2 linked regions of the Caenorhabditis elegans genome follow. The protein of the gene in region 2 purifies or fractionates together with the protein of the main gene of each other region. This does not show direct contact. Each region holds a gene or a part of one and is shown on either strand. Other genes may lie near its edges.

Evidence for each region.
Region 1: the proteins of R09F10.8 (region 2) and C15C6.3 fractionate together in Caenorhabditis elegans (co-fractionation; one large-scale study listed by BioGRID). This does not show direct contact.

The regions. Positions count from the first base shown.
Region 1 is NC_003279.8:12,205,323-12,213,149, forward strand, and holds C15C6.3 (YTH domain-containing protein), read left to right. Parts: upstream 1-1,774; 5' UTR 1,775-1,776; coding exon 1,777-1,819; intron 1,820-1,937; coding exon 1,938-2,207; intron 2,208-2,269; coding exon 2,270-2,334; intron 2,335-3,119; coding exon 3,120-3,258; intron 3,259-3,672; coding exon 3,673-3,771; intron 3,772-3,879; coding exon 3,880-4,264; intron 4,265-4,907; coding exon 4,908-5,599; intron 5,600-6,477; coding exon 6,478-6,884; 3' UTR 6,885-7,367; downstream 7,368-7,827. Other genes in the region: C15C6.2 (DUF7778 domain-containing protein), read left to right, coding at 187-457; popl-4 (Ribonuclease P protein subunit p29), read left to right, coding at 7,808-7,827.
Region 2 is NC_003284.9:8,324,537-8,328,365, forward strand, and holds R09F10.8 (DOMON domain-containing protein), read right to left. Parts: upstream 1,916-3,829; 5' UTR 1,913-1,915; coding exon 1,592-1,912; intron 1,539-1,591; coding exon 829-1,538; intron 781-828; coding exon 693-780; 3' UTR 571-692; downstream 1-570. Other genes in the region: R09F10.1 (Papain family cysteine protease), read left to right, coding at 1-107, 161-341, 387-459; F55E10.4 (Cubilin), read right to left, coding at 3,023-3,364.

The sequences.
Region 1 (7,827 bases), on a different chromosome or scaffold from region 2:
AAGCATTTTAGGTGAAATCTGATGGAAACTGCATGAAAAATTAGCTAAAATGCTCTGAAATCGGGAATTTTAGCCGCGCCAGGCCTGCGTAAATCGGCACATGGCCGTGGAAGAGGTTTCACACGGCCAGCTCTTCCGTTTTTAAATTTCAAAATTTATATCATTTTCTCAACATCATCCTTTCAGACCACTTCCCCATGTCTCCGTCCGGTCTCTTCGCCAGAAACTCGAGAAGGAGCTCGTCCTGAAGCCTAAGGAGCAAGTGCTCGCCGAGCAACAACACAAAGCCAACTGCGATGAGCCAAGCTTTGTCTCTGAAATCTTCTGCACCCCAAGAGCAGTTTTCAGCGATGAAACTGTAGTTCTGCTGGAGCCAACGAATGCCAGAGAGAGGAGAGAATACGAGGCGCAGGCGGACAGAGAAAATCAGTGGTGGACTAGATCTCTTCGGTGCTAATAGAATTCAATAAAGTATCTTATTTTCCTCGTTTTACAAAAATTAGGGCTCCAGGGAAGCCTATATTGTTGCAGATTTTAGAAATTTCGAGATTTCAGTTTTCCAGCTCAGTTTCTCAAGCAGAAATACCAAAATTTTCAAAAGTTTGCACCCATGGTAACTCTTTTTATGTGACCATAAATATGTGAAAAGATCCAATAAAAAGTTAAGATGGGCTGCACTATTTCGTCGTTTTCTTTTCCACCTCCTACAGTGAACAAATCGCGGCGCGCGCGTATTTTGTTTGTATGTTTTTCGGCCCCGATATGTGCAGCTAGTGAAAGGGAAAAGTGTTCCGTGTTCCCTCGGCGATGGTCAGTTTCCACAGTTTTTAGTTAATTTTTATAGGTTTTTTTTTAATTTTTCACAATTTTAGGGAAAATTAGATATGAAGTAGAAATTTTTACACTGAAATCGACTTAGAATGCCTCTAAATTATGCAATTCCTTATTGTTAAATCTATTAAAATTCGGATAAAATTTTGACAGTGCAAAAATTAGCTAGAAATCTCAGTTTTGTCACCTTTTCCTGCCAGAAATTGATTGTTATTCAATGTCCATCTATTTTGTCTATTTTCGCTGATTTAGGTGCATTTTCAGTAAATATGTGCTCAATTTTTGTTAATTTTGAACCTAAAAACTCGGTTTTCAAAGCTTTATCGAATTTTTAAAATGAAAATCTCCAATTTTACATGTTTTTCTACACACTTTGAACATTTTCGTTGACTTTTCGTAGTTTCTAACCCAATTTTTTGAAAAATTACAAAATCTTCTTATAAATTCATTAATTCACCTTCCAAAATAATAGAAATAATTATTTCTATTAAAAACAATAAACATTGCCCGTCAAATATCGCGCCTGCGTCCCCTGCGGTGTTTGCGTACATCATCGATCTCACTCTCTCCATCTCTCTGCGTCTCTCACCATTTGCCACGTCGCTGGCATCACTCTCACTCTCTCACTCACACACAACAAAACGCGGCGTTCTCTGGACGAATTGCCCGAATTCACGAATAAATCTGCAAATTACCGATGAAAATCGATTCGAAATTCGATTATTTATCCATATAATTATTGATATTTTGTCCCCTTGGCCCCCCGAATTCGCAAAAATGCCTATTTCCCACCAAATCTCACTCACTTCTTCTCACACTTTTTTCCAGTTCTTCTTGAGCATAATTCAAAGGTTGAGTTCGAATTGAATCCTGTGTAAATCTTCCCAGCAGACAAATTTTGGCTTTAAATAATTCGAAAATTATTGATTTTTCGTATTTTAAGGTATGGACGACGAGGATTCACTTTTGGAACGAATCGCCGAAGTTGGTGAGTTTTAGACGATTTTTAGCCGTTTTTTCGTAATTTTTGAGTCATTTTACCCCAAAAAATTATATAAAATTAAAAAACAAAAAATGCAAAATTAAAGTAAAATGCTCAATTTCAGATAATCTAGAAGAAGAAGAAGAAGACGATGAAGTAGTGAAGTCAGGCTCTCCGGAGGCAGAAGCCGAAGCTCTGGACTATAACGAGGATCCAGAGGACGGAGAAGAAGGTGAAGAGAAGGAAGAAGCTTCGGAAGACGGAGAAATTGAGGAAAAAGCTGAGAAATCGGATAAAGAAGATGAAGAAGAGAAAGAAGACGGAGAACTTGAAGACGGCGAGCTCGAGGACAGTGATGACGGCGAAATTAAGGATGATGAGCCGCAAAAACGAGGTAGAAATTGAATTTTTTTTTTATTAAAATAATGGCTTTAAAGTAATTTCCATGAATTTCAGCGCCTATTACGGCTCCAGCTGGGTCCGCTAGAAGGCCCATAGAGGTTGGTTCGAGTATGAATGATGTGAGTCGATGTTGTCCGTCTCGTTTTGCATGGAATCCTGAAAGTAGCCTGAAAAAAGCTAAAAATTGCAATTTTTCGTGTCAGAAATCGATTTTTATTCGTTGTTTCGTGCAATTTGGCACATTTTTGCTCTTTTTTCACAAAAAAAAAGCGCAAAAAATCGGACACCGGCAGGTGGAAACCCGAATTTCGCTATTTTTAAATTAATTTTCCCATAAAATAACCCACAAAGATCAATTTTCACAGTGAAATACGTTTGAAAAGCCCCATTTTCAGTAAAAATGCAATTTTTGGAGTAGTTTTATCGATTAAACCGCAAATTTCGGATAAAACCTTCAATTTTTCTTGTCATAGCGGTTAGAAATCATTTTTTACTGGATTTCTACGATTTTTCGCTCATTTTGGCTCAATTTTAGTCGAAATGTGCACAAAATGCCCTTAAATCAGGGAAAAATCGGTCAAAATGGGCAAAAAATAGTAAAAATTATGTGAAAAGCGATGGAAAACTGCATAATTGTGAATTTTATCCGATTTTTATCATTTTTCCGATAAAATTACCTATTTTTACTGCAAAACTCCAATTTTCCCAATTTTTAGCTTTCTTTTGTCGCTCATTTTAGTCAATTTTATTGGCTTTTTCTGTCTCAAAGCCTAATTTTCAGCGATTTTATTGATTTTTGTGAAATTTTTGAGCTTTTTGATGCATTTTAAGCATGATTTTTAACGTTTTTAATCATATTTTGTGTGAATTTTCTGCTTTCAACCCTCAAATTCTCAATTTTCAGAACCGAATTTCCCGTCCAATGGGTCGACAACTTCCACCAATCCGGAATCATCCATATGTGCCACGTCGCGAAGATCCTGGAACAGTTTCATGGGAAGCTGCACTTTTAGCAGCAAAAAGAGCTGTTAATGGTCGCGAAGGTTGGTAAAAATTGATTTTTCAGCTGAAAATCCGAATTTTTCAGTCCAAAAAACAGAAAAATCCGCAAATTTCGAAGAAAAACACTGAAATTTGCAGTTTTTCAGTGAATTTCAGAGCAATTTTTGATTTTTGGAAGTAAAAAATTCGGCAAAAAATACAAAAAATCTCGGGAAAACTGGAAAAAACTCAAAAAAAACTCAAAATTTCCCTCAAAACCGATAATACTAGCGATTTTTCAATAAAAGTCACTAATTTCATAGAAAATCTCCAATTTTACCACTTTTCATTAAATTTTTTTCAGTTTTCCTGCTGAAAATCTACAAAATAGGCGAAAAACTGCCGACGTTTAGCTAATTTTCATGTTTTTAGACCATTTTTCAGTGTTTTAAAGCTTAAAAATGCTCCAATTTCAGACGCAGAAGCTGATCGAGGATCCACGTCACCTACGGATCCAGACAAACGGGCGATCCCATCGCTTTTGGACATCCGGACCCACAAACCACAAATGAAAGGTTTAATTTTACGCGAAATTTGAAAATAAAACGAGGTTTTTCGGTCCATTTTTTGGCCATTCACCTCTAAAAATGCAATTTTCTACCTAAAAATTCAAATTTTTTCAGATCTCGGCCCACAAGTGATCTACCCGAATCGCGCGCCGCCAAATCCATCATCATCACAAAATCGATTTAAACGTGACTCCGCGCCATCGGCACCGGCTCGCGATGCTCCAATGTTTCGTGGCAGGACCATTAGTCAGCGCCAGGCGCCACCACAAATTACCCGCCGAAATTCGTCAAAATCACCGCCTGCACGTGGAATTAGCTATTCGCCGTCGAAATTCGATGCTCACGAGATATCCAGTGATACAGATGAGGAAGCAATGCAGAAACGACCGCCGAGAGAGCGGAAAATTACACTGAAAAAGGCGAAACGGTCGTCTTCGGTGTCTTCGTCCACTTCTGAGTGCGTAAAAAGACTGTTTTTATGGGAAAATCGTCTAAAAATGTGTTTTTTTCTTCATTTTCAACAAAAATCGCAAATTTGGCGCAAAAATTTGGTTTTTTTCGGCAAAATAATGTGTTTTTCCATTGTTTTTCAATTAAAAATTCGCAAGTGCGGCACGAAAAAAGGGGCGGGGTTTCGTTTTGCAAGTCTGCGGCGCGGCTTTTTATTTTCAGATTTTTCAAGGATTTATTCGTTTTTTTCTTTAAACTAAAATTTTTTTTTTTTTTTTTTTTTCTTTAAACTAATTTCTATTAAACTAAAAACAGTGCCGCAGCCTTGCAAATCGAAACCACGCCCCTTTTTTCGTGCGGCACATGCGGATTGGAAATTTAACGCAACTAAAAATGGTTAAAATTACAATTTTTTCCCAAAAATTCGGAGAAAGTTGCAAAAAAATTGGAAAAATTGACGAAAATTTTCAAAAATCAGAAAAAATTGCACAAATGGCTAAAAAATCGGTAAAAAATTGCCAAAAATCAGAAAACTTTAAAACAAAATTTCAAAAAACCGGAAAAAATTTGCAAAAAAATGGAAAAAAATTCTAAAAATCGGAAAAATTGCAAAAAAAATTCCAAAAAGTTGCGAGAAATCAGTAAATTGGAAAAAAAATCGATAAAAAAACCAAAAAAAATTCTACTTTCAGAGCCACAATCCCTGGAGCCCGTGACATCTCCACCGACTCATCTGACGCCGGATCTTCTAGCAGACGGCGCCGAGCTCGTCGCCGAAGTCACCGATCTCGTTCCCGAACCTATTCAACATCCTCAGATCGTGGAAGCTCATCGAAACGATCCCGTCAGCAGCAGCACATGAAGCGGAAGACTCCATCGTCACCATCACGAAGATCCCGAAGCCGTTCACCTCCACCATATCCACCGGGACACGATAAAAAAATGTTCCAGCAGAAGAAAAAACGGCAGGATAGTGTGGTTACAGGAGATATTCATGCTTATCGGATCCCGAAACGAAGCTCTTCCGGCAGGGATTCTCAGAATTCTTCGTTTTTCAGCAAGAATGGAGCAAGTAGCAGCTCAAGATCTCAAATCAAACGATCTCGTCAAAGATCGGAGACCCCACCGATGGTTCCATCGGCGAAACGTCGGAAGGATGATCAGAAGCAGAAGCTTCGACGTGGAGACACTGCTGGTGGACCTCAGAATATTAGTGGTGATAGTGATGATAGTGCATCGACATTTGACTCTCGGCGAGGAAAAAGGATCTCGAAGATCAAACGGAACCGCCGATCGCCTTCTAAGGAGAGCATCACGTCGAGAAGTAGCTCGTCGAGCTCGTCGAGCAGAAGCAGGAGTCGATCTAGTCATTCGGATAGCTCAGGTGCTGCTTTATTTGGATGAAAATTTTGGGGATTTTTAGCGAAAAAATGGAAACATTTGTTTAAAAAAAAAACCGCCAGAAACTATAAAATATGTCGATTTTAACGGAAATAAGCCTTTAAAATTTGATATTTTCACCCGAAATTTGAAAAAAAAAAGATCAAAAATCGATGAAATTAACTCAATTAACTCAATTTGACACTAAAAAATCGCAAAATTTGAGTTTTAAAAAATTCCGAAAAAAAATCCGAAAAACTATGGTATTTACGTCAAAAAAGAGAAATTCCATTGAAAATTGATTATTTTTTCTAGAAGTTTGAAAAAATCCATCGAGAAATCGATAAAATTTTGGTTTTTCCTGGAAAAAAACCACCCCAAAACTATAGAATCTATTAGAATGCAAAAAATTTGCTAAAAAATGCTGAAATTTGATGAATTTCTATTCATTTTCACCACAAATTTGCCCTAAAATTTCCGAAAAACACCGAATTGCCATGTGTCGATTTACGTGGCTCTCGTGTACTCCTCGAGGAGAAGATTTCGCAAATTTTGGCTTTTTCAATACAAAAATTAGATTTTTCTATTGATTTTCTATTAAAAACCAACACGAAGATTTTTCGAACATTTTTCTCGGCAAAAATTGAAAATTTGAAGAAAAATTGCAGAAATTCATTGGAAAATTTCCCAAAAAAATTCCAAAAAATCAAAAAAAAAATCGCATAAATATATCAGAAAAATTAGAACATTTAATTTTTTCCAAAAAAAATTTTTTTTCGAAAAAACGTCAAAAAATATAAAAAAAAAACGAAAAAATAGTGATTTTCTTTGAAAAAATCAGAAAAAATCGCCAAAATTATTCAAAAATTAATTTTTTTCCAGATTCCTCCAGCTCCAAACTTCCATCTCGCTACCGCCAAAAACTTCCAACGGAGCAAGAGAAAATCAGCTCCGATGAGGATGAGCCAGCGGAGCCAATTGCTCAAAAAGCTGCAGCTCCAGTGAGCCCAAATCCAGCTTCATCGCGCTCCGCATCACCGGAGCCAGCTCAGCAAGTCGATGAGCTTCTGGAATCCGAAGAAGCTGCTCCACCACCACCACCTCCACCGCCACCAGAAAATGAGCCGGAGGAATTTCCACCACCACCACCGTCGATTTCGATTCGGGAAACGAAGAAACAGTTGAAAATGCGGCTGAAATCAATCAATAAAATGCTGGAAATTCAAAAATCCTCCCCGTTGCTCGAGGGAAATTCATCGGAGAGCTCGGCCACGGCGACTGCTCAATGAGCACTAATTTCTTGGGATTTTTAATTCAAAAAGTTGAAAAATAGTCTAAAAAGCTGAAAAAAACCGAGCAATTTCGCTGATTGGTCCAAAAGTGGGCGGAGCGAATCGCTGATTGGTCGCAGTTGAATTTTTCATTTTTTGTTTTTTTTTCAATTTTTTGAAGCAAAATCCCTAGAAATAAATTAAATTTCATATTTTATTTATTTATTCCCCATCTCCTCCCACCCACATCTAAAGTGCAATAGAGCACGCTTTCTCTCTCTCGTTTTTGCTACGGTTTTTCAATTTTTCCCTTCTTTTCTCTCTACCAAAATCGCTATAATATTTTTTTTTAATTGGGTTTTTTCAATTATTTTACCCCGAACCCCCCCTCCCCGTCGGTTTTTGTGATTGTTTAGAAATATTTTTATGTGTGGTTTAGTTTTTGAAACTTTTTCTGTTTTTTTTTTGTCTATATAAATACAATATCTGGGAATTTTTAAAGATTTTTTGTGTATTTTTTGGGTTTAGAGACGATTTAATATTCAGAAAATGACTTATTTCTTTTTAAAAACTACTATTTGAATATATGGAAGAGCTGGCCGTGTAAAACCTCTTCCACGGCCATGTGTCGATTTACAAGACTCGTGTACTCCCCGTGGAGAAGATCTTGCAGTTATTTGCTATTTTTCACTTAAACCACTAAACGAAACAAAAAATAATTTTAAAAAGTGTAAAACCACGTATTTTGAAAAAAAAGGAAAATCTTCTCCTCGGGGAGTACACGAGCTGCGTAAATCTACATTTCACCGATATTTCCCAAAAAAATTCGAAAAAAAACCATCAAAATTGATGAAATTTTTGAAATTGTTCCCAGAAATTTGAAAAAAAATACAATTTTACTAAAATATCCGTTTTTTTCCAGAATTCTATCGAAAAAAAAAATGAGCAAAGACGTACGAAT
Region 2 (3,829 bases):
TTTGAAAGAAAATGACACTCGGGTGTTCATTGATGATTTCCGGATGTTATCAAATAATGAAGAAGATATCGCAAATTGGGTTGGAACTAAAGGACCCGTCACTTTTGGTAATGAATGCCTTATTAAATCATTAAAATATACAACATCTTTTTGTTTTCAGGAATGAATGTCGTCAAAGCAATGTACAGTTATCGTTCTGGAATTTTTAATCCATCTGTTGAAGACTGTACGGAAAAGTCAATGGGAGCTCATGCTCTCACAATTATTGGATACGGCGGAGAAGGAGAATCAGCCTACTGGATTGTTAAAAATTCATGGGGAACTTCATGGGGCGCAAGCGGGTTAGTGATTTTTGTTTCGGAAATTCATCAGTTATTCGTTCTCAGGTACTTCCGTCTGGCGAGAGGAGTGAACAGCTGCGGTCTTGCAAATACCGTTGTTGCTCCAATAATAAACTGAAAACTCATTTACTTAAGTGTTTCGTCGAATAAAAAATCCCAGTTTCCCGAACACTTCCATCTAGAGTCCTCAAACATGTTTTGGAATTCAGAAAAAAAACACGTCGTTCAAAAAAGTTAATTTACTTTTCAATAGATACCCGATGTGTTATATCAAACAATCCGCAAAGGAGCACAAAATGTTAATGCAATAAATAATTAAAAAATATGCCGCGATGATCTTTTAACAAGGATTTAGAAATGAATGCAGAAGACAAGGATGATGATGGCGTTGCGGAAGTGCTTGAATTTGGCAGAGCTGTTGTCGTAGTCATCGTCCGAACTGAAAAATTAATGGTTCATTTGATCTAAAAACGTTCATTCCGTTTACCTATTGTAAGCATCATCATCATCTCTGTCTTTGTCCATCGAACGTCCCCTTTTGCTGTTTTTGTTAGACTTTTTGCCAAAGTCCACATCTTCGCCATTCTCAAGCTCCTCGCTGTTGAACGGACGTTTTCTTTTCTTCGATGGCATATCATCCTCGTATTGATCGTAATCCTCTTCTTGCTCGTCGCTGAGAACTCGGGTGTGGCGCCCTTTCTTATGTTCACGACGCTTTTTGGGATGCGATTCCTTCTCTTCAACTTCAGAATATTCATCATCGTCTTGATCTTCTTCCTCCCGCTCAAACTTCTTGATTGGGCGGCGACGATTAGACATTGCCGAAAAGAGTTTTTCCTCAAATTCCTCAATTGTGAATCTGTTTTTTTCATTGAGAATTGCCTCCATATCAGTAGATTCAGAATCATGATCAGAAAGTCTCTGGACCTTCCCAAGCAGATCCGTAGCCAACTTTTCCTCATCTTCAGATAAGGCTTCGTCTTGTCGGCCAATGGTTGCTGCAATGGGGTGGAAGAAGACACTGTCCGTGCTGATGGGTTCGAGCTTGTACGTCGTTGGAATGTTGCTCTCATTCGCGAATAATCCTTCAGAAACCACAAAATTCGACTGCATTCTGAAGTTGGAAGGAATTTCCTTTCCAACAAACGAGCAAATGAATGTATTGGTGTCCATCTGAGCTACGTATTGAGCCATGTTCTGAAAATAATTAAATAAACATCGGTGAACCATCATACAGAAACTTAAAATACCTGCTCAGTGATTGTTATGATCTCGCCTTGAGAAGAAATTCCACGAAGACGTTTGCGCTCATGAGGAATGCAGATCAGGTACTCGGTAGGGGCATTCTGATTAGAGTTATAGGCAAGAGCGACGTATCCATCAGGGGCAGTGAAGTTTTGCAGGTGAACATCCAAAGTGCCATCATCCTCAAAGCGAAGGAGCACGTGGCAATCAATACCCGGCTGGCAATTGACCGGAGATCCGTAGCACGAGTTCTTTTTAGAACAATCAGACAAACTAATTCCAGACGCCAGTGGGACTATAAAGACAACGAGCCACAAAGGAGACATTACCTGAAATTGAAGAAATGAGTTAAGAAAAAAGAGTTAGAGAGAGGAATGAAACAATGAAATGGCAAGTAAGGACTGATGAGTTCTCGAATGGTCGGAACCATTGCGCGCGCACACACCTGCGCGGCCCTTACGAGGCAAGAGAGAGAGAGAGAGAGAGAGAGAGAGAGAGAGAGAGAGAGAGAGAGAGAGAGAGAGAGAGAGAGAGTGTGTGAACTGAAGAGGGAATGAAGAAAGAGTGTGGGGACACGCGATACACAGATATGCTAAGAGTTGTTGTTTTTTTGTTGTGAAAAGAGAAAAAAGATGCGCTCATGTCTGTAGATCAAAAAAAATGCGATAGAGCAGGTTTGCTTTTATAATTACCAAAATTGATTACTGACCAAAAACGGAATATAAATACAAAAGAGTAGGAGTTCAAAAATCTGTTTCATGTTATAAATAAAATTTGTATTCTATTCAGTTTTTAAATTTTAATACCGAAAAAAACAAAATTCAGCGGGTAAAGTTGAATATATTCCTGTTTTTTATTTCCATAGCTGAAAAACCAAATTCACCATTGTACTCGTAGCACTGGAGAAATGATTTGTATTGAGAATGTTTGGTCCGTGAATTTCTCAATTTTATATTTATCACAGCATTAGGGAAACAGTTATGATGTTTGCTAATGTTCAGCCGAACCTTTTTATTGCGGTTTCCACTCAAACAAAGGTGAGCAGCATACAAATGAGTTGATTAAATTGAACCTAGACGATGAGCCGAAAATAATATATCAATAATGAAACGTTAGATTTTTGGATGTTACCAGTTTCTCACTATTGAGACCGGAACAAGCAAATAAAGAAATTCGAGTGAAGAGCGTTTGTGAAACTTTAGACGTCCCAAAGAAAATACTCATATTTGAAAGTTTACTTTACAATGGAACCAATCCAGATTCTTTTATAATATGAAAGGCAGTATACGTGAAAAATTCCGGTAGTTTAAATGTCTGTGGAGGGAGTCTGTGAAAGATAATCAGTAGTAACATTAGTTTTTCAGAGTGTTTTTTTATTAATGTGTATCTTGAAACTGCAACAAATGATATACGAAATCAATAGAAAAACATCGGGATTATACTCTTTCTTGTAGTCGTTCCTGAGGTGGATGTGCATTTTCCTCAAGGTCGTCTTCGACTTGACCGTTTTGATAACCTCCATTGACATGGTTATGGACTTGATGTTCTTGTGGAGGTGCTCCATCGGCATTGCCACGGGCCTGATCGTTGCTTTCGTTGAGGTGATAGATATCGAAAACTTGCATGCGTCGTTTGTTTTTTCGAAAGGCATAAATGATGAGAATGACCGCAAAGAGCCAACCACTTGGAGCTAGACAGATGAGCCACAAACGACTATCCTGCATGCTGGTCCTCGGATACTCGGTAGTGAGGTTTGTGGACATCAAAATATCCGACATGTCTCTGAAAAACAAATTAAAGTCTTAAATGATATTCTGACCAGGGGTGCGCGGCAATTGTACAAAATGAGACGGTTGGGCATGTTCCCCCGATATTTTTTATTAAAGTTTAATAATAGATTATATAAAATTATTTTCTCCATCTGGAAATAATTTTTATTAGACTTGGAAAAACCGAGAAAGTGTTTTAAGATTGTCTGAATATTGAAAATTGCCGGTGAAAATTGTCGAAAAATTGGCGGCAATTTTCACCGGCAATTTTCAATTTTCGGACAATTTTTTAGCACTTTCTCGGTATTTATAAGCCAATAAAAGTTATTTTCAAATAAAGCAAATACTTTTCTATATTGTATCATTATATAATATTTTAATGAAAAATATCGGGGGAACATCCATCCCAACCGTCTCATTTTGTAGAATTGTCGGCAGTTGCCGCACACCTCTGATTCTGACTAAATATAGAAA